2 linked regions of the Nothobranchius furzeri genome follow. The protein of the gene in region 1 interacts with the protein of each later gene in a pairwise test. Links are inferred from orthologs where the notes say so. Each region holds a gene or a part of one and is shown in the gene's direction. Other genes may lie near its edges. The genes, in order: rap1gds1 and plekhb1.

Region 1 (11,593 bases):
TAAAAAATTGAGACTTTAAATGAACAATTTCAGATACTGAAATTGAAAGAGTGTCTGAAATAAAATTAATTGGTGTTGTGATTGACTCTAACTAATCCTGGAAGCATCATTTAAATTAAATAAAAGGAAAAATTGCCAAATCTTTGGGTCTATTATATAAGCTGAAGGACATACTAAACCATAAGGCCTTACGTCTAATATACTGTTCACTAATACAACCATACATGGCATATTGTATAGAAATATGGGGTTCAACTTTTAAAACATATATACATGAAATAAAAACTATACAAAAGAAATCTATTCGAGTTATAAACAAGAGCAATTATTATGCTCATACTGACCCGTTGTTTTTAAAATCACAGATTATGAAATTAGAAGGTCTATATTATTATAAAATAATGCAATTTATGTTTAGAGTAAAATTAACGGCTCTGCCAGAAAATAAACTAATGTTTTTTGTAAAGAGGGAAAGTAACTATGATTTAAGAGGTGTGGTTAAGAGGTACGTTTGTTCTACAAAAAGCCAAAAAGGGCATGAAAAGGAGATGTATCTCTGTAATGGGAGTAAAATTTTGGAACGAGGCTAAAATAGAATTAAAATTAGCAACTTCTCTTTCAGTTCTTAAAAAACTTATCAGTAAAAATATTTTTGAAGAGTATTAATTTGATGTTGATGGATGGATTTGTGTTTTATTTTTATTTGGGTTGTTGGTTCATTGCGGGAAATAGAAAAATTGTTTTGTAAGTAGGTTAGACAATTATATAAGCTACTGCTTCTGCCTTAACCTATTCAGTCATGAGATACCAAATAGACACCATATACAAATGAACGCATATGTTAGTGAGAAATGGTATTTGTATCTATTTGTATGACATGTTATTGTACACATTATCTTAAGATGACTGACTGAATAGATTGATCATTCATTCATAAGATTTTACTCAACAGCTGAATTGTTTGTATTTTGATTCTGTGTGAATGAAGATGAACAAAATCAGATAAAACACAATTGTGATTTCTTACATTTAAATTGTAAGTAAACCCCAATTTAATTTTTGTAATTTTATTTATTTATGGGTTTTCTTCACCAAATACTGAAAAACTACTTGTTTTTATTTATTTATTTATTTTCCGGAACCGCGTTGCTCTGGGTGGCTGAATGTTGGAGTAGCTCTGTTGACTATATGTAAGTTTTGCCTTTTCTTGGTCATTTTTTCTTCTAGTTTCTCAAGAAAAACTGTATTTTTTTGGACACTTTACTTTTCTGTTTCTGGTGCTGTGAAGCTTGGAGGATTTTTGCTGCTATTTTTTAGCTTTTTTCACTTTTTGAGCATTTGTTATGATGTGTAACCATGGCAACAAGCTGGTTTACAACCGGGAGCAGCTGATTAACATTGGAAAGGCTGAAATAATACCTCAACTGAAGCCACAAATCCCAAATGAGCTAAAACGCAAGAAGCGTGGGTGCAGAGCGGGAGCAAAACGGAGACAGAGAAAGAGGAAATTCAGACCATCTCTTCCATCGATCATAACGGGCAACGTGAGATCACTGGCCAACAAGATGGAGGAACTCCAAGCCCTTTCAAGGACTCAGCCAGAGTTTCGGCAGTTTCAGAACCGCTGGAGGAGATAATGCAAAGAAGGATTCTCCAGAGAATCAAGAAAATGATGGACAACCCTGAGCATTCTCTTCACAAGACTGTCCGACAACGGAAGAGTGTCTTCAGTCAGAGGCTTCTTCAGTTTGGCTGCAACACTGACCGCTACTGGAGATCCTTCCTGCCAACAGCCATTGTAATAATCAACAACTCTTTGACTTGATTATTATTATTATTCTGAGCTACTACAGCAATCAATTTCCCTCTGGGATTAATAAAGTATTTTTGAATTTGAATTGATTTTTGGGGAGAATGTGTGCTTGTTGTTGTTGTTTTCTATCAAGCTTCTAAATCAGGGGAGATGAAAGAAGAAAACTTCCAAACTCAAAGATGAATTTATCTATCCTCCTGAGACCCGAATTTGTATTTGGTGGGATGTAAAATAAATTAAAGAAAAAAACTGAAACAAAATATATTTTTTACTTAAAATCAATATCAAATGTTTCTAAATAAAAAAAAGAATAAGAATAAAGAAGCCAGTGTCCTCATATGTAGACACAGGGTCTCAGGAGGCTATTACCTGTTTTTACATGTGTTTAAACCACACGTCCTACCGCTGGCTGGGATTTTTCTGTCTGTTGGCTGAACTTTCTGCTCTGGTCTACTAGTGTTTATTATTGTTTTTGCATTTGGAACACGGACAGTCAAAAACATTTGTGTTAAAGTAGGAATGCTGAAGCAACTGCTTATTTGGTCTAACCTCCTAAAACCGTTTTAGTGAAAATAAATGAGTTCAAACAGTATTTTGAAGTTAAACACTTCGAAATAACATCTAAAATAATAATAAAGCTACTTTAATTAAAGCTCAATAATTAAAAAGGTTTTAACCTTAATCAGAAATAGCAAAACATTGGAGCAGTGACGTCTCAGATAATCTCCCCAGTTACACTGGAGATTAGAAATACGTTTCTATTTCTTTACCTGTAAGTCTATTTCTATTCTGTCACTGCAGGAGAGGCAGGATCCACCTGGACAGGTAACCAGGACCATCGCCAGTCCATGCCGGGACAATTATGGACACACACATGCACACCTGGGGGAGTGTTTACCAGTTGCTCTGACATATTTGAGGTCTGTGGGGGGAAAACGAACACTCCACGTAGAAGGTCGCAGCCAGGCGTTGAACCTGCAGCCATCTCGTTGATGCTAACCTACTGCAGCACTAGGACACTGGTTCTATGTTGAAATGTTAGTATTTATTATACGCATTCAGTCACTCCACTAACCAGCGAGGGGCTCTAACTGGAGCGATGACACCACTGCAGAGGGTCAGCCTGTTAGTATGCTGGCATAAACAACCTGTGTGTGTGTGTGTGTGTGTGTGTGTGTGTGTGTGTGTGTGTGTGTGTGTGTGTGTGTGTGTGTGTGTGTGTGTGTGTGTGTGTGATCCTGGGACGCATACACCAACCCCAGCTGTGACCTGAGTCTGGTCACGTTTGACTGAGACATGTCCAGACGGGACAGATGCCTCCCACACAGACCCAACCACGGCCACAGGAAGTCCAGCTGCTGCAGAAAATGCTAATTAATTCTAACCTGCCCGCAGCTCAACACGGTGGTCTGAGACGGACAGAGATGGAGATGCGTTCGGATCCAGACGCGAGGGTTTCAGAGCAAAAGCTTTCTACATACCGAGCAGCACCGACACAACCGTGGCGATCAGAAGCCAATTCTTCCTCAGCAAGCGCTTGAAATTCACGCCTCGTCGCTCCTTGTTGCTCATCGCGTCAGCGGTGTTGCGTTTATTCCTCAAAAATTAAACGAAGAAATGCGCTGAATCCACAACGATTCCCAAAGAGAGACACAAGCGCCTCCAGCGAACTGACGAGTCAGAGGAGGAGGAGGAGAAGGATGGAGGAGAGGAGCTCCGCGCTGCTGCAGGAGTAGCGGTCCTCTTATGGTGGGGAGGGGAGGGGGGGAGCCCCCCCCCGAGCCCCCCCTTCCTGCATGGAGGCTCAGGCACCTGTACAGAGAATAAAAACAGCAAAAACATGCTCTGCGGGTTGTCAGAGCGTTAAAGTTAAAAAGAAGTCCATCAGGACGAAAGAAAAATGTGATCTAACATTTGAAAAGAACAAACTCAGCATTTAAGCAGGAAGGCTCTGATGAACACTTCATCGTTTCTTTCAGCTGTAGAATGCTTTTATCTAATGTTGACTGAAGGTTCACCTGCACGCTGAGGAGGAAACCGACGCACTTATCCAGTCTTTGGAAGTTTTCCAGATGAAATAAGTGGATTTAATCGGATTGTTCTTTTCTGTGTTCATGGCTCCAACGCTTCTGACTCCATCACCAGTGGCTGGGATGCAGCAGCCTCGATACCATAACACAACATCCTGATTTTGTAGATTTACATTTATTCAGCAGACACTCTTTACAGAAACCTGTTCTGATTTGTTTTATTTTGATAAGTCATTACTGGATGACGTATGATCCTATCACATTTATGCATGTTTTTCCAACAACACTCACATCGTTTTTATAAAGTGTGACATTTCTTTTTTTCCCACTCTTTATGTGACAAATATGACATTACAATGAACTCTAGATTTTATTTATTTAAATGACAAATGGGTTAACCAGCATCCGCCCCTGAAACAAACTTATTTTATATTAATTGTAAAGGAATTTGAACCCTTTTGGACATCTTTCCTCAATTCAATTCAATTCAAAGATACTTTATTAATCCCAGAGGGAAGTTAGAGAACACTGCCATCCACTGGTTGTGCGCGTCAACAACCGCACATTTTGGCTGCTTTATTTTGAAAGTGTTGACCGGATGTTTTCATCTCCGTCCGGTCTCCTAGCTTGATTCTGCCATGTTTGACTGAACCAGTTTTTCGGGAACTGCCAGCCAGACCACCACTGACTGTCAGCACGGACATGAGAGAGAGTCCGGTGTGTTAGCCTGGTGGTTCCCGCTGTTTCAGAACCGTACTGTCCGACCGAACCGGCCGCTTGCTGCAGCTGCTCGATAGCTAGCTCCCACAACCCGCTAACTTCCCCCGGAGACCAGACGAGTGGGGCCTCCGGCTGGTGCGACGCGTTTCACGGAGATACCCAGACACCCCGGTTTGTTTTCCGGAGTAACACCCTGCTGAAATGGGTGAGTAGTTAACCGGCTATCCGGTTCATTCAGAGGCGAGCTTTTTCATTAGATTTACCAAAAGCATGAAGTGTAAAACCATCAGATGATGCAGTGTCTGGTGGTTTGTTGAAGTTGATTGACACAATCGTGCCAGTAAAGCCGTTCCTGACAGTTCCCGTTACTCATTTCCGTTTTCATTCATTGTAACGTGAGTTTTTAAAGGGCCGAGTGTGACCACATCGTGGATGTATGCGCGCGCGCGCCCATCCCTCGGGTGGGGTAGCCTGCCCGACTCCACGCACGGTTCTCCTCCTCGGCTCTCCTGGAGGCTGGCTCTTCGCGAGTGGGCCCCCCTGGTGCGAAGGGTCTGGGGTGGAGAAGATGCTGCTGCAGATGCAGTGAAATGGCAGCGAGCTGCTGCTGATGGTGAAGATGGCACTCCATCTGCACAGCTGTTATGCAATAGGATCAGACAGGCCACCTTCTGGTGAAACCAGCAGATCACTTGAGCCCAGGCTGAGACATTCCTGGACAGTCATCCTGACCAGGTTTTATTAATTCACACTACAGTGTGTGTGAGTTCTGTGTTAGATCTGGCCCTGATGCTAGCAGTCTCACAGGAAAGTGCCGATGGCCACAAGGCTGGAGCCGACATCTGTCTGCAATCCTTAGGGTGTTTAATGGTTACCCTGCTTTCCCACTGAATATTTACATGTTAGTGGTAACATGTTGATCAGGGATGTGTATTTTTTGAAATTCTGGCGATACGATACATATCACGATACAGGGGAGACAATACGATATATCACGATATACAGTAATCCCTCGCTACTTCGCGGTTCATTCATCGCGGATTCGCTGCTTCGCGGATTTTTTGTTTGGAGCATTTTTCAGGGGGAATTCGCCGTATTTTTCACTGATTCGCGGTATTTTTCTATGCGAAATATCAAGAAATTCTTGTTTTTTTCCATCAATTTCATCATAAAATGCACTTTTTGTAATAAAACTAAAAAAAACCAAGTAAAAAAATTTTTTTCTTGAGTTTTACCCACAAAAAAAGAATGTGATCATACGATAATTCAATAGGGAGCGTGGTTTCACAGACGCGGAAGTGATAGCGTCGGTGAAACGCCGGCTGATCTAGGAAACCCCCGAGCGTTCGAGCGTCAACGAAGTGACACGGAAATGCCGGGCTTTCCAGAAGTAAGCAAGATAACTTACTATGAGCTGATAGTTCATGGGATGGATCGGTAGGTTGGAAACTCTGATCATGAATCTGAAGAAACGATGACTGAGTGGTGAGCTGGAAAGGCGACTTCCGTTTATAGCCGCGGTTTGTGACGTAGGTGCGACGTGGAGGGAATCCCCGCGAGGGGCATGCTGGGAGTCCCTACTTCGCGGATTTTCACCTATCGCGGCCAGGTCTGGAACGCATCTACCGCGATAAACGAGGGATTACTGTATTGCTATACATTCAGTCAGACGTTACAAGCAATTTTTTTCACTGAATTTATTGTAAGAATGTTCAATAACAGTCCAAACTGATACGTAACATGTTTAACATGAGGTATCTGAACCATGATGGAGGGTTTTACATTTCAATGGTGGAAACAAAACCCGTTGCACACTGCTGCCAACTAGCGGGTGGTGATTGAATTGCACAAAACGAAAAGAAAATACACGAATGTTTGCATGTAAATTCTTTCAAGAATTAAATACACGGCTTTTGCATATCGATTTAACATTGCTGGAAAAAAAATCACGATATATTGCCATATCGATATTTTCTTACATCCCTAATGGTGATTCTAACATTCAGACTGTGTTCTGGCCATAAACTGACTTCTAAGGGGTCATATTATACAAAAGTCACCTTTTGCATTCATTTGGAAAATTCAGATGTTTAAAAGTGGGCTCATGTGAATAGTTAGCATCGTACTTGTTTGTGTTACTTTAGATTCTAGAAACAAGAGATTTGTTCTGATGTCTGTCTGTCGAGCTAAGAGTTAATCCTAAACAGGCCAGTGTTGTGGTTATTAGCCAACAAATAATTTGTAAGCTTTACTTACTCTTTGGATTCATCAATAAAATTCGTAAATATGGAAATATTTACTGATTTATTACGTAATTAGGATATCCGTTGATATGCCTAGGGGCACAACCCCTTTTTATAGGGGAAAAATGAATCCAAGCCTCTATCAATCTGTCTAAAGTTCGTAAAATTCTTTTAACGAGCAGCGGTCATATTCTATCCAACACAGACAAATTAACTTGAGACAACTTAATTGGCAATAACATTTATTGACTAATATAATCACCTTAGCTCCTTCAAAGCGCTAGCCAATCAATATCAACCAACCGATTTTATCAAACAAACAACAGGCAATGAAACCATGGAATGATGATGTGACGTAACAATCTAATCAGACCGGTGGGGTGAGATGGTTATGTGATCAGGCAATGGTGAGGCTGCTTGATGATGTAAGCAGGCAGAGATAGGCTGATTACCAAACTGGAGGGAGTTTTGAAAACAAAATGGCGGATCCTTCGTTTGGCTGACCAAAGGATCAAACTGTGTGTGTGTGTGTGGAATTTAGCTTGTCTTCCCAAACACGCACGATCAGTGGGTGTGGGACCCTGGTCAGACGCGTATTTGACGGTGTGAACAAACGTTCACAGTAAACTTAATCAAAACACTTCAAATCGCTTCACAAAGATCAAGAAAAAAAAAACAACAGATCAGTCATAAAGGCAAATTACATATCTAAACAGTCTGTCAGCCTGGCCACTGCATAAACAAACTTAGATTTTAAACAATAAAAGGAACGGAGCTTACTTCGAGATAATCCGTTGGCGTTTTTATTACGAAAGAGAGAGACCGTCTGTTAATTTAAAGCAGTCACGTGGTCGACCGCTTGTTTGGACTATTAGAGAAGCGGGAGAGAAAGAGAGGGAAAAAAAATCTTGAATGAACGAACACAAGGCGTCCGTCTGTGTCCGGGCTGAGCAGATCAGATGGCGTTGGTCCGTTGATCTCAGCAGCTAGGCCTCATGCACACGCTGTCCGGAGCGGTAAGAGCAGAGGCGGGGTGGGAGTGGGGGCGGGGGGGGGGGGGGGGGTGTCTCCTAACACCAGATGAACTGGACGGGAAGAGGAAGAGTTCCGCTCTGCGCCTCAGCTTTATAGACTCGTCCAGCGGGCGGTCTCTGTAGGGGCCGGTATCCACCGGGGCGTGTCAGACTTGGCGTCACTTGATGACATCATCAAGCTGCTGCCGGCTGCAGAGGATCATGGGACATGGAGTCCCTGCTGGCGCTGATATTAACATGCTTTATTGTCTACGCTTCAGGGCGTAGATGGCACAGTCCTTTGTAGGGCTGCACGATATTAGGAAAAACTCCGATATTCGATTACAGTGCTTAATATTGCGATATCGATATTACTCACGATAAATGAACAAATACTAAAGTATGCAGTGTTGATGTCGTCTGGCGTGTGACGTCTGCTCTGGGTTCAAAGCAAATAAAAACTAATGTATGAATTCCATTACAACATAACATTTTTATTGCAGCTGCACCTGCTACTGTATTAGCAGCAAAACAACAAACTGCATGCATGCAGTTTCTCATTGACTTTAAAACATCACCTCCACCATAAAACTTTTTCTGATGCTCCAAATACAGAAAAACATCCCATAGCAGGGTTTTTTGAATAAATAGTTTAAACGTTAAATAATAGTTAACGTCACTTAAATGCAACAGCAAATTCTCTCATTGCTACTGAGCATTTTCTCCACTTATGTGGTTATGATATAAGGCTGTTGCTGTAACTGGGAAGTGAACTGTGCTGGGCCAAACTAGGAGAATATTAAGATTTTCTGAAGGAAAGAGAAAAACAATTGTCTACCTTTCAGAAGAGGAACTGGCAAAAAAAACTACATGGAAAATATGTGAAAACGTTTGTTTTTAACCCCAAATTGAACAAGTTTACCTCAGTGGCGGATCTAGGATTTTTCTGAGGGTGGGGCCATCAAGGGGCCACAATATTTATAGAGGGGCCACGAACAGTCCAACATACTTGCATACTATTCCCAGTTTTGTATGGTAGATACAGTTTACCCCAACACCATGTTGAAAAACATCAATGCAATTGTACATCAATTTTTACTGTACATTGACAAAATACAACCACACACAGCATTTGAGAAATTTTAGCATTCAATTTATTTTGCAAAGCCACAAATATCAGGTTAAAATATGTTTGTGTGTGGAAAAAACACCAGAAGAATATCACAGGACCCTCTGCTCTTGACTGGGAAATGTCTGGTGGGAAGTCAATTAAATAAGTCTGAGTCAGTTGCTTATATCTCTCAACCTTTAACATTCATGGCATTCAGAATCTGCAAGTGACTGACTGCAAAATTCAATTAAATTTAAAGAGCCTTTACAAAATGAGAAGCACACCACCAGGTCCTACTGGAACAGAACACCGTTCTGATGTCTGCGCAGGATTCTGTGCATCACACTGGAAGATGTCTGAAAACATCAAATGAGAAATTACCTAACATAAGCCAAATACATACACAAGCATTTATTACTTTCAAAGATCAATGTTTACCATTTGATCCTGCAGGATTAGCATTGATTGGTGACTCTGGTGGCCCAGCAGGATGGAAGGTTGAGTCATTAACTTCACTCTGGTTGTCTGAATTGGAGAGAGTCTTGTCCCAGTTTGCAGCTAAAATACAAATATATGTCAAACTCCAGCTAAATCCAGCCAAAACTTTGTTTTCTATGAGACCACATTTTTATTTATTTGAAATTGAAGACTTGAAAGATTGGACTATAAAGATGAGATGTGGTAGATGTAGACAAAGAAACCAATACAATTTAAATCCATTATGTTAATGTTATAGTAAACCACATCATCATGAAGCGGAAGAATTCAGTAAACATATGTGCCATTAGTACAAGATAACATCATTTAACAAATTTGAGATAATGGTGATTTTTTTTATTTTTACCTAGAATAATGGCAGGAAAAGTTGGACTAACAAAGGAATATCCAAAACACAAAATCTCTTTGGAAAACTTAACCCTGACCTTACTTAATCAACCAATTAGAAAATTCAGTGTTTCAAACAAGGACTTTTCCCACACATTTTACAATACATCAAAATGTCACAATTTAGGGAAACCTTGAAGGAATTGTGGGAAAGGAAACTTAACTGCAACATTACTGATGATGAATGGAAAGATGCTTTGAGAAACGTAAAATCATTTACTAAAGGGAAGCAACTTTGCCACTAATGATTTGTCACGATTAACAACTTCTATCAATTTAAACAATAATCCTTTATTTTTGGTGCTTGGAATAACTGACCCAATTATTACTGATAAATATTAAAAGCTCAATGCAAATTTTCTGTGCAAGAAAATGACTCCACATTAACTGGATCAGCTCCAAGATAAAATGGGAAAAGGTTATCCTCAATTATAAGCAGAACACAATGGGCAGCATTAGGTCGTTTATAAGTGGTCAGTCCGTCCTGCTGGATAATGTGGTGCAATCATGATCTTTTTACAAAAGATTATGCGATGGCGGTGAAAAGGGAGCTTGGGGGCGGTCTCTGCGTTGCCACGGACTTCAGTTTATCTTGGACATAACTTGCTTTTTATTGCGATCAAAGCCACACTCATTAAGCTTTTTTAACAAGCCGCTCCAGAAGGTGTCTGTCCCCGTGCAGTCTCTGGTGATCTGAGCTTCAACTCTTACGGAGAGGCTCCCCGGCCATCATCTCAGCTGATTCTGTTTAGAAAAGCCAAACTTACGGCCCATGTTTACTTTCATTTTCAATATAGTTGCCGGCCGGAGCTCGGCAGTAACTGCCCACGTGATCATGATACCCCCTTCTGTTGCGCCAAGTTGTAATATGCATTCACAAGTCCGGCGTTGCGGTGATATTAGTATCAACCGTGGCAGCACGAATGCCACAAAATTCCCGCAACACCATGCCGCCACGGCGCGTTTATATTACACGTACGCTGATTTCCCAGCATGGTATGTCCTACAAGAGGCTGTCTCTCGTGTTTATCTGACATGACTGTTGCACAATAAAGATTATATTCTTTCTGACCTGATAAAGGGGGAATGGAGGTCCCTTGCCCTGTTCCAGCCTCTGGTCTACTGCCTCCTGCTGCTCTCTCTCTGATTTCTCCATGCTCGTTTTCACCAGCTGACACACTCACTCTCTTGGGAAAAAACTGCAGAATTCCCGCCTGTATCTGACCCTTTCTTTTCATGTTCTCTATCAGACAGTGCCAACTATTAACACACGAAATGCAGATTACAAAAGAAGTACATGGATTAGCAAGGGCTAACGTTTTTTCACAAGCCCTTTTTAACATTACCTTTAACTAATGTCGGCATTGCTTTCCATTGGACTTATTGTCAGACTTGACTTACATGGCAACTGTGAGTAAACAGTGATTCGTGACTTACCAACAAACTCCTCATAACGTGGACTCTCATCAGATCCGATGTCGGTTGAAAAGTTCTCCCTTCTTGGAATCTTTCAAATCTTCTTCTGTTGGATTTCACACACTATTTTGCTCCTTAGCGCCACACGGCCACTAGTGTTTGGACTCGGAATTGCATCCACCTATAATCTCATCACCGCACAAAGGACAGATAAGTGACAGGACAGGGGCACTACAGGGGCCAATCATATTTCAGCAGAGGCCAGTGCCCCTGTGGCCCCGCCCCTAGAACCGCCAATGGTTTACCTAGATCTTAAAAAGCAGCTCAGATGATGAAACTGCAACTATGATTCTGATAACAAG
Region 2 (11,704 bases), on another chromosome or scaffold:
CCAGGCTAGGCTAATGTAATAACCGCTAATGAAACAAAGCTAATTTAACAAAGGGGTGCTAGGGCTATGAAGAACTTTGATCCAAACGAACCATTTTTAATTTGAGTTTAGTAATTCTTTAAGTTATGTGGCTAGGTATTTGATGTAATCTGTCAGACGGCATTTTCTGTCGAAATATCTTTAAAAATAAAACATGCTCTTACCAGTTAGCATCTCCAAGTCGGTGTCCATGTTGAAGTTCCCACGTTTCTACAGCTCTTCTTTCACCATTTAAATGACCTCTGCGTTGCCCGTTCTCATCCCCTCTTGCTGCTGGTTCAAACCTGTATGGCTGTGCACCTTCAGTATTATAAATAACTGTAAATTCGTGTTCAAATTCTGGCGCCTCATCCTGCTGCTGTGAATCCACTGCTTAGTAGAGTCGGAAATGTTTTCCCTCCGTGCGCATCACTTCCGGTTTCCAGCTAGAGGTGCCGTTTTAAACCGGATTAGCTAGGTAAGCAGAGCTGGATCATTAATAACTCGTTTTACTTTCAAATATCTTCCTTTTATTCAATGAAAATATAAAGTTTAGGCATATTACTATACAAGCACTTCAACATGTGTTTAAAATGAAAGATGGCCTTTAAATAGTAATTAATCAAACAACGCGTGGTTCAGTATTTGTACTGAAATCCAGTTGGATTTAATTCCATTACATAATATAAAAGCCTTAAACAACGAATTTCAACTACTTGAATTTGCCCGTTTTCTTTCCAGTCTGGGTGTTTCAGAGTCCGAAAACCCCTAGACTGTCTGCTTCTCGCTTGCCGTGAGAAAGCCCTTGGCCACCTCGGGGGAATACACGCTCGAGATAAGTATCCAGGTACGATTAAATACAATCCAGGGGAAAAGGGACTGTGCTTTCAAAGCCACTGTAACAGCTGGGCCAATCAAAGCAGTCTACCTTCCCTCTAAAAACACGTCCACAAAGCCCGTCCCCTGGACACGGAGCTGCTGGCCAAAACTTGTGGAGCACTGTGGGAATTCTCCTCCAAGGCCACAGTGCACAAAACGCCATTATAGAGGAGCCCTTGGACGACAGTGAGGGGCTTCATTTAAGGCGGTAATGGGACAAACGACATGTCATCGTTCTCATTTCAGCAGGAAAACCAGGGTTCTGGAATCTGTTCAGATTTAAGCTGAAATCTTTACTCATTTTCTCTGTTAAAATGTCCAATTCCCCACACGGGCCTGAAATCTAGATCATCTTTAAAGCGTTTAATGACACTCATGATCCGACGGATGTTTTGGGGCCACTTTGAACTGAAAACCATTTCTCTGTGCTCACCTGAGAGGTCGTGACCCCCAGAGCATCAAGGCCACATCAGAAGAGGAAAGGGGATAGGCGCGTATTCACTTCTAACCGAGCGTGTCCGACACCCCCCATAACATCCCACACGCAGTCACGCCAATCCCTGACCTCTGACCCGCCCGAGGAACCCAGCATCAAACTGGGACCACAGACACCTGCATTCATAAACGTGATGGAAAAGAGAGTCAAAAGGAGAGAAGCTGATGGGGATGAGGGAACGTTAAAACGCGTTAAACCAGCTGATAACGCAAAACCCCCAAAAATCAATCTGTCAGCTTAATGCTTGAGGTTGGTAGGGTAGGTGTGTTTAAATATATATTTAAATAAAGCTACCTGCTGTATCGGTTTTCCAATCAGAGAATTCCCAGAACAAAGGGTTCATTGAGCAGTGAGAGAGTGGTGGCATTGTCTCTCAAAGGTTAGTCCCCCCCCCCCCCCCCTGCCAGGGCCTACACCTTCCTTCAGAAACCCCCCCAGACACTCTGCCAGGGTTAAGTGGAATGCAGTCGACGACAGAGAGCGAAGGCGATTATTGGGAAGCAGCGGGGTCATTCCAAAATTTATTCCACATTCTTTAAATGTGCCGGAGACACTGTAGCTATTGTTGCACGCCGACAGGTGCTCGTCGGAGTCGGAGCAGATGTTTTTCACCTGCGCTGCCCGTTTCTGGATCCTGGCTCACGAGGTTTCATCGTCCTACAGCGCTAGCATCAGTCCTGTGGAGGCACTCGTGTTGAAACGTGCAAATGCAGAACACTTTTTAATGACACGATAATTTCTACCACATGAATGATGTTGATTTTACCAAATAAACATGCTGAGGGTTTGATTTGAATTGAACTTTTTCCTCTAAATTACAGCTTAAACTATTTAAAGATAAAATAAACCAAACTGAAATAAAGTGGTTAAAAAATGTTCAACTTAGCGCGGGTGGACTCAGGCTCTGCACACACGTAGCCGAGTATCCCACAAAACAACGATATTTTTATTAAATTTGGTCCGTCATCCACGAGAGTAAAGTACGGTGGCCCTGAAGTGCAAACCACAAAATCAAATCACTAAACGAACAACAAATTGAAAAGCACAACAACAAATTCACTAAACACAAAACCAAATAGAAAACCACAAAAACAAAACCCAAACCGGAAAAGGAAGGTACCAACGCTGCAACAACAGCATCACTGACTGGATGATGGATCCGTTGGCCTTTTGAACCGGAAGTTGTTCTGCCGAACGTGTTTTTTTTTAAACTTTATTTAACAAACAAAGAGTATACAACAGTGTCCGAATCATCGACATACATGTGTGCGAATCCACGGGAAGGATGCTTACGAGTACGGGTCCTTGCCAGACCGCTAAGACCGGAACCAGCGGCTCTGAATTCGGACAGTCTAGCCTTCACCTCTACGGTGGCCCGTAGGTCCCGTCACAGCCGCGGCGGCAGCTACACGCAAAGGAAAAATGCTAAAGCTAGCGAAAATGGAGCAGGAATATTAAGGAGCTGCAGCAGCTTCACGTCCATCGGCAGCGTTTGTTCACAACCGTTTTCAGGTAAAGTAACTTTGTTTATTCTAGAAGCTTTCAGGACTTACATGCTAACTTTAGATGGCTTCATGTATGTTTTAAGCTACAGAATGAACTTGTTAAACGTACACAACACATTACTACAGAGTATTATCATGTAGGTAAAAAAAAACACACGTTCGGCAGAACAACTTCCGGTTCAAAAGGCCAACGGATCCATCATCCAATCAGTGATGCCCGTTGTTGCAGCATTGGTACCTTCCTTTTCCGGTTTGGGTTTTGTTTTTGTGATTTGCACTTCAGGGCCACCGTAGTAAAGTTAAACACCATCAAAAACTATTCTTTCAAAAACTCCAACCGAAGCAGAAATTTGTGGATTCTCCTTCGTCAGCATTTGCTTGTGGACGTAAATAACCGAGGTTGTCGGTTTGGCAAAGTCACTGCCCACAAAAACAATTTCAACCCTAGCTTTTTCTTCCAGATTGGTGGTGAGGGGTATTTGGTTTTACACAATAAAAATAAAAAACAGCTACGTGTGTGCCCGGCCTCAAACGGTCATAAAACTGTTCTTGTGGAAAAATATGAATTGTGATAAAAAAGAGCAATTTTAACACTCCGCTTCCACAAACGGACGTTTTATATCTTCACTGTGCTCGCTTGTCTAAAACTTGATTGGTTACCTGAAACAGAGCTAGAGGTCGACCGATATACGAGTTTTATCAACTGCCGATTTTTAGGGGTCGATTTTCACGGCCTACATCTAGATATTTTCCACCTTAATTTCACACTAAAATGTCATTAATAACATCGGTTTATGCACAAAATGCCTGAAGCCGAATCAGTTTTTGAACTCCGAACTGTTAAATCTCAACTTTGTGCACTGCTCAGTGTAAAAATCAGACACCTAAATAAAGTTAATTTAGAGTAGTTGTTATGCAGATGGTATTAGTCAACGTAAAAATACATTTAAATTAAATTCAGCAACAGCACAGGGCTGCCCGAGGATGTGCATGACTTAAATCGGTCTTACTAAGGATACATATCAGCCGATGTATAAAACTTGGTAGATATTGGCCGACCGATATGGGTCAACCCCTAAAACGGAATCAAAGCCTGCAGTGATTCAACAGTAACTATGAAGAGCTTACCTCTGAGGAAGCTCCGGTTCTGGACAGTCCTGATAGTATCGGATGAAGAACCTTTCAGCGTCCTCCCTCTCACCACGAGACACCGCACTCCCATTCAAAACCATCACAGATGGCAGCCTGGGGGTGGGAGAAAAGGTCCCACGGGTTCATCAAATATTTAGATCATTAAATACTTAATGAAACGATCTGCTCCTGCATGAAGACGAAGCTTGTGGAGGCGGTCTTACTGTGCTAAGAGGAGGCTCCGTCTCTCCTGGCTGCTGTAGGACTGTAATAACGGAATCCCCTGTGCTTTCACCTCCTCCAGTTTAGGAAAAAAGGTCAGTTTTTCTATGTCTTCCCATTTACTAAGCCCTGGGTTTATATAAATCACAGTCAGTTTGTATCTTAATGCAAACAATTATTTAAATCTACAATCCAACCTGAGTTGTTAAGGTTGATGCTGCGAAGGTTGGGGAATAGATGCTCCAGTGTTTCCTTGGTATCTTCCACAGAGTTTATGCTGTTATTGGCCAGAACCAGCGTACTCAGTCTGGGATACAGCCGCCCAAACTTCCTGACTTCTGCCCAGTCCTGCAGCTGGTTGTCTGTGATCTGTAGGAGGCTGAGAGACGAGCAGGATGCCCGGGACTCTGACACGGTGTTGTAGCCATTCAGGCAGAGGAACAGCTCCTTCAGCCTGCAAACGAGGCGGCGGAGTGAAAAACGGAGCAGGAAATGCACACAAACTTCCCCAACGTCAGATCTGAGGCGTTCACTTACTCTGGTGTGTGCTGAGTCAGCGTATGAACGGTGTCCCAGCTGACTCGTGTGTTGATGAGGACGAGTCGTCGGACTCTGAAGAAGACGTCGGCCATGCTGGGCTCCAAATGCACGCTGCTCAGGGGGTTCATGCTTAGGTTGAGGAAGTCGAGTTGAGGGATGTTGGAGACAATTGTGCTGATCTGTCGAAACCACGGACATCTTAGAACGCAGCAGCAGCGGACCACGTGACCTGGTTCTGCGCCGATACCGTGAGGATTCAGACAGCGCGGACACCAGTTCTGCTTCACCGCTACATGGATTTCATCCATGTTAGCCGCTTCTACTACTCAGGTGAGAGCAGGGCACCACGCTACGTATTTTCGTATCAGCATGTGACCTTAGTCTTAGACCGATACCTGATGCTGGCTTTAGTGTATCCCTGATATTTTTTATTCCCCAACACAAAAAGCAGACCAGAGTTGTTCTATAAGATGCTGGAGCATCGACACCACCCTGCAAGTGCGTGAGATAGTCACACTGCAGGTCTTGCAAGGGGGGGGGGGGCAGTTTTTCTCCTTTTAAAAGAACCAGAGGGACGTAGTTACTGTGAGCCCGTGAGGTTGCCGCTGCGGCGTTGGCGTTTCTAATTCAACACCAGCAGGCAAAAAGCTCCAGAGTGGTTTAAAGAACCAAAATCAGTAAATAGGAGCGACCCAGAAGTTATTTCTGCCTCCCTAAGAAGCTAAAATATCTTTTTGTTTTACTCCAATATCCGGTGAAGCAGGCTAGAGGCTAACGTTGAGCTAACAATGCTAACGGTGAATTAGAAGTAAGCAGTCAGCTCCAAGTCGTTCAGAACAACAGCAGCAAGCTAACAGCAAGACGACAACCAACCACACTTCTTCTAATCTCACACATATTACCGTAATAAGTGTAGTTAGTTCTCCCTACCGGTCCGTTAAACACCAAAGAGTGCCAACACCAGCTATGGCAATGTATTCATCTACTCATGAACTTACCGAGTATGACTCGTTTTCACTTCTAGAAACTTCTGACGTGGACCTGTAACTGGCAACGGCCATGAAACTCACACAAAGGCAGGGGGAAAGTGATTATTTGGCTTAGAAAAATGGACTGCAGTAACCAAATTTGACCACAGGATGTCCTTCTTACTCCATTCTTATACAACATACGCTGTTGATCAAAGGTTTTTAACAATTATGAGGATGCTAACGGATGTTCTGATGAAAATTTTGCAAGGAGGAAACGTGTGAAGGAAACTCGGCAGATCTTCAAATTTTATGCAGTTCTGTAAGACTGGTGCTGTGGACCAGTTATTTTATTAGAGGGCATTAATTGGACCCGTATGAACGTAAAAAGATCGTTTTATTTGAGACCGCTCTTTCCTGTCAAAGGCGTGAGCCTTAGAACAGTTTGTCTGATGTTCTTTTGCATTTCTGAGTAGTTTGACAAAAGCTTTTAGTGCGTCTACAGTTTTCATTTTAATCATGTTGAAAAAAAAATGCCGATTTAATCCAGAGTGTAATTTATCTCCTGGTTAAAGACCAATAGGTTACTCATCAACCAGAAGGCAGGAGTGCAGCAGAACTTTAAGTATTTTAAGTCATTTGCTGAACAATCCTGCATTTTTTAACATCGTGCAGCATTGATGCAAAAGAAGTGCCTCCCCTTTCGTTATCGAGGTCTCATTTGCTGCATGGAATCCAGTTCCTCATCATGGATATTAGTGTCAGCAGCGTTAAAGCCGTCGACCCTTCTTGTTAACAGAAAAGCATCGATCTTCCAGCCTTCGGTTCGATAACCTGTGTACTTACAGGAGAAGCAGCTTGAACCACTCTGGTCTGACCCAACACTGTGGACACAGCATGGTCCATTCTGGTTGGCTCACAGACTAAAGCTATCGTTTAACAGAAAAGCTCCCCCTCAGAAGTAAAACATGACAGGAGTTAGAGCCACTAAACATTTTAAGTTGTAGAAATAAGCCTGATGTCATGGACTCGTCCATAGAGTGGCAGGAGGACACCCACCTCTCCCCAGTCGTTGAGCTGATTGTGGGACAAGTCCAGCTCCAACACGTGACCACAGAAAGCTGCGATGTCCGACCGGTCGCCGGCCTTACTAATCCCACAGTTGTTCAGAACCAGAAAGCTGGGCAGGAAGAGGCGATCTGCAGCAAAGGGGAACTCTAGTCAGTTCAACCGGACTCCAACAGGCGGCGAATGTCGAAAACGCCAGTCGATGGGTGGACGCCTCTCACCTTTAACGGGGGACCCTGGAGGGCTGGGCAGGACCACGACCCCCTGGCCATAAGGGAAGTTCTCTGGGTTGTACTTCTCACTGATGACTTGGACAAAAGTGCGCGACTCCTCTTCGTCAGAGGAATCCATGGTTCTGTAAGCTAAGCATCAACAGGAAGAGACGAAGAAAAAGCTTTTCAGACACTTTCTAGTAGGGATGTAAGAAAATATCGATATGGCAATATATCGTGATATTTTCCCCAACAATATTATATCGATATTCAAAAGACGTGTATCGGAAATATCGATATGGCAATATATTGTGATATTTTTTCCTGCGATTATTACAGCGATATTCAAAAGCCGTGTATCTAATTCCTGAAAGAATTTACATGCAAACATTTGTGTATTTTCTTTTTGTTTTGCACAATTCAATCGCCACCCTCTAGTTGGCAGCAGTGTGCAGCGGGTTTTGTTTCCACCACTCAAATGTAAATCCCTCCATCATGGTTCAGATACCTCATGTTAAACATGTTACGTATCAGCTTGGACTGTTTATTGAACATTCTTACAATAAATTCAGTAAAAAAAATTGCTTGTTACGTCTGACTGAATGTATCGCAATATATCGTGATATATCGTATCGTCTCCCCTGTATCGTGATATGTATCGTATCGCCAGAATTTCAAAAATACACATCCCTGCTTACTAGTTTCTTCAGTTTGAACAGTTTTTCTGTTCTGATCCTCCGCAGCACTCAACCATAAACCCGTCTGATCCAGCTCAGTGTCACAAATTAGAACAAGGTAGATTTGTGACCCAAAACAAACACACGTGAACACACACTGGTTTTTCATGCATCCTGCAGCAGTAGAATCAACTCAAACCCACTCAGTGTCTGCGTTCTGATAAAGAAGGAACATGTCAACCACGGAAAATGTGCAGCTCACTGATATGATTTCATAAGTTTCTGAGGAACCGTGGAGGTCTTTACTACCGAGAAACAAGCTGCAACACAGAAAACTCACAAATGAGCTGCTCCTTCATGGAATCAGCCCAAACTGATCAGTATTTATACTTTTATCCTACACAAAAGACACGTGCAGACACCTCTGCATCCTTCAGGTAAACCGAAACACCCACCCACTTCCTACATGAGCCTTCTCTGCTCTCATAGTTACGATTCTCCTGTCATTTACAGAGCTGGTTTATGAATGCATCTTTGACCTTTTTCCAACTAAAGTACATGTCCTATCGCACAATACTGGCCAATTTATCAAGTTTCCCTGCAGGTCAAAGATTATGCCAACAAACAGCCTTCTATATGACTTATTAGAAGCCGCCGTGAAGAGGGTTGCGCCCTGCGAGTGCACGGTCGATCCCCAACACAAGGCAAAACCTTCAGCTGCAAGAAAATAAAATATAAATCCAAAACACTGCAAAGGTTTCAACACCCAGCAAGTCTACATCTGCATTTTAACTCAACTAAATGTATTTATGAGTCATTTGAACCACTGGAATACAATCAGGAAGGTCATTTAAGGAAAATAACTTTAAATACACGCACTTAAACACCTTTTGAGACCGTTTATAGTGTAGAAAACCCTAAAAATGCAAGTTACTATTAATTTGTTCAGGTTTTACACATGCTGTATCCATTCATTTAGATTTACAATATTTTGTAATTCACCCCGACTTTGGCCCCTTGTTGACTCTGACAAGACCTAGAAGTTTCTGATCATTTTAAATTCAGTCCATCTGGACTCTTCCTGATATTTCTGTCAAAGTTTCCATCCCCAGTTCGTACCTGCTGTGTTGCAGAGACCAAAGGAAAGGTTGTTTTCAGCAGCAAATCATATCAGAGGTCTCCATCACTGCTGAGGAAAAAACAAAAACACACTAGGGCAAAAGAAAGCTCAGACTTTACAAAGCAAACCAGCGAAACCTGCATTACAAGGCAGACAACAACAAAGCCAAGTGACATCTGTGCTCCTGCACCTACAAGATGTTAGTCTAGACAAAGGCACTTGTCAGAAATCTGAGATGTGATCTACCGGTTAAATAGTAAATTAAAACAAACAAAACTTGATCAAGTTGCATTTTTCTGTTTAAAAATGATTTTAAACAGCACAGTTATGAAACTAGAAAATGTAAGGTGCCACAAAACCGTCTTTAGTCCCATTTATCACAAAAAAGGCAGGAAGTCATTCCCTCGTTAAAACTTATTCTTTAATCATGCTCTCTACTGCCCACTGCTGAGCAGTTGTGGGACTGCAGGGAATTTTTGTTTTCTTTTTGTAAAAACAACAACAACAGACCTCGACTGATAAATAAACCCGATTAAAACTCCAGTCGACACCAGAACATAAAGCTCATAAATGTCGCTGCAACATTTGAATGCATTTCATTAAAAGCTAATTCGTGTTGAAACGCGTTATTTTTAAACGGGTAAAGGCGAACACGAGTGCAGGACAACCAGCGCAGCTCGGGGGCTTAGCAGAGCAGGCTGGACAAAAGCCTGGGAGAAAATATTTTAGACTAACATGTTAATGGTGTTAAATGTGTATTTTTACAGTAAAGTCCAATGGAAACGACGACCTTGAAGCGTGTCTGAAAACAGCATTTCACGTTCAGCCCCGAAAAGCTAAAACCGTACGGTGGCGGCTGGAGGCGAGTCGTTTTCCGGACATTCACACTTAAAGTTTTGTTTATATTTGAAGGTCTAAGACGGGAACTTCTGTAACCGCCGTACTCACCAACCCCGGAACGCTGTCGTCGTTCAGTTTGTTGTTGTTTTTCTTCGGTTAGAGTGACAGCTTAAATACGCCCACTCTACCGGACGTGACGTAGTTTAAAAGTCTTCTGGCTAAAAGGTAACAAAAGGGTCATAAATAATAATAATAATTATATATATAAATATATATTTGCCATAAATCAAAAAGAAGAAAATCATAACTGAATCTTATATTGTTTGTGGCAATGTCAAATAAGCTTAGCGGTTTTGGAAAATGTATTCAATTTAATATAAATGTCAATTTAAAGTTAAAATTATAATAAAACCGAAAAATACTATTGAGCATATTATCTTTAATTTTATTTTAAATAAGTAAATAACTTAAGTTAAACAGTACAGACTGAAGTTACCACATTTGGCCATGAGGTGACAGTTTTGAATTCACGATCAATTGAACATTGGTTCTTTGAATTAAAATTTTACAAGTTATTATTGATTATTTTCCATAAATTAAACTGTGTATCTCGGGGTCTTGTTCAGGAGTGAGGGAAAACTGGAGCGTGAGATCGACAGGCGGATTGGTGCTGCATCTGCAGTGATGCGGGCGTTGTACCGGTGTGTCGTGGTGAGGAGAGAGCTGAGCCAGAAGGTGAAGCTCTCGATTTACCGGTGGATCTACGTTCCTACCCTCACCTATGGTCATGAGCTTTGGGTAGTGACCGAAAGAACGAGAACGCGGATACAAGCGGCCGAAATGAGTTTTCTCCAAAGAGTGGCTGGGCTCTCCCTTAGAGATAGGGTGAGAAGCTTGGTCATCCGGGAGGGGCTCGGAGTAGAGCCGCTGCTCCTCCACATCGAGAGGAGCCAGTTGAGGTGGCTCGGGCATCTGGTCAGGATGCCTCCTGGACGTCTCCCTGGTGAGGTTTTCCAGGCACGTCCAACTGAGAGGAGGCCTAAAGGTAGACCCAGGACACGGTGGAGGGACTATATCTCACGGCTGGCCAGGGAACGCCTTAGGATTCCCTCCGAGGAGCTGGTCCAAGTGGCTGGGCAGAGGGAAGTCTGGGCCTCCCTGCTTAGGCTGCTGCCCCCATGACCCGACCCTGAATAAGCGGCAGAAAATGAACGGATGGATGTGACTTTAATCCATCAAAGTAAGTTTTGGTGTCATCTCATGAAAATAAAGAACTCTCATGATTACATTGAGAACATTTCTTCTGCGTTTATAATTTCAGACATATTTTAGCTGTGATAGAGATCACAGGTTACAAAAATCAATAAAAACACGTAACCAGGAGGAAGAAAATGTTCCACCGAAGCAATCAGGTGACTCAGGTAACCCAGAACAAACCAGCACTTTCTAAAAAGAGATGATGTCACCTGCAGCCAATCTGGGGAAACTTTCATGATCGACCTGAGGACTGTTGGGCTAATCCTAGCTGATGAGTCTGTAACAAGAGTATTAAAGAGCGTAAGGTTGGTTTGGTTCATGGTGTGTGTGTGTGTGTGCGTGTGTGCGTGTAGTGTCAAAGGTACCATGAACCTAGACAGAGTGGGTAAAGAAAAGACCAGATGAAGAGGAGTGGCCTCCTAATCCAGAACAATCCCATGAGTCAGCCTGAGTCCTGGTGACTACCAGATTAAGAGCCTCGCAGAGGTAGAGGGAATATAAATTGACCCAGATGAAGCGTTCTGAATCAGATTCAGCATCAAACTGTCTCATGAAAAGAAAGTTGTCTTCCCTGTTGGATGTGCTGGATTTAAAACAGAGAGTGGATCAGAAAAATGGCGCTCCTGAAGTCAGGCTGGTTGTGGAGACAAAGTAAGCAAACTTGTACTTTTATCTTGTACTTTTACTTCTTGTACTTGTACTTTTATCTTAGAAGTAAAAAAACAAACAATTTCTTTAGTTTGCATTATTTTTGTTAAAATTTTCTTTTGT

Evidence for each region.
Region 2: the proteins of rap1gds1 (region 1) and plekhb1 interact in binary tests that used the Homo sapiens proteins (3 or more experiments, as listed by UniProt). The two-hybrid records come from large-scale screens. The link is inferred for Nothobranchius furzeri from reciprocal best matches to the Homo sapiens genes RAP1GDS1 and PLEKHB1.

The regions. Positions count from the first base shown.
Region 1 is NC_091743.1:87,832,517-87,844,109, reverse strand, and holds the start of rap1gds1 (rap1 GTPase-GDP dissociation stimulator 1), read left to right. Parts: upstream 1-4,547; 5' UTR 4,548-4,764; coding exon 4,765-4,768; intron 4,769-11,593. UniProt on the Homo sapiens protein: Acts as a GEF (guanine nucleotide exchange factor) for the Rho family of small GTP-binding proteins (G proteins) that stimulates the dissociation of GDP to enable subsequent binding of GTP.
Region 2 is NC_091750.1:28,769,487-28,781,190, forward strand, and holds the start of plekhb1 (pleckstrin homology domain-containing family B member 1), read left to right. Parts: upstream 1-4,976; 5' UTR 4,977-5,084; coding exon 5,085-5,121; intron 5,122-6,818; coding exon of another isoform or gene 6,819-6,958; intron 6,959-7,048; coding exon of another isoform or gene 7,049-7,178; exon of another isoform or gene 7,179-7,189; intron 7,190-8,835; exon of another isoform or gene 8,836-8,905; intron 8,906-9,784; exon of another isoform or gene 9,785-9,897; intron 9,898-11,448; exon of another isoform or gene 11,449-11,547; coding exon of another isoform or gene 11,548-11,584; intron 11,585-11,704. Other genes in the region: tubulin-specific chaperone cofactor E-like protein, read right to left, coding at 4,027-4,143, 4,254-4,380, 4,449-4,705, 4,789-4,970, 6,819-6,958, 7,049-7,178.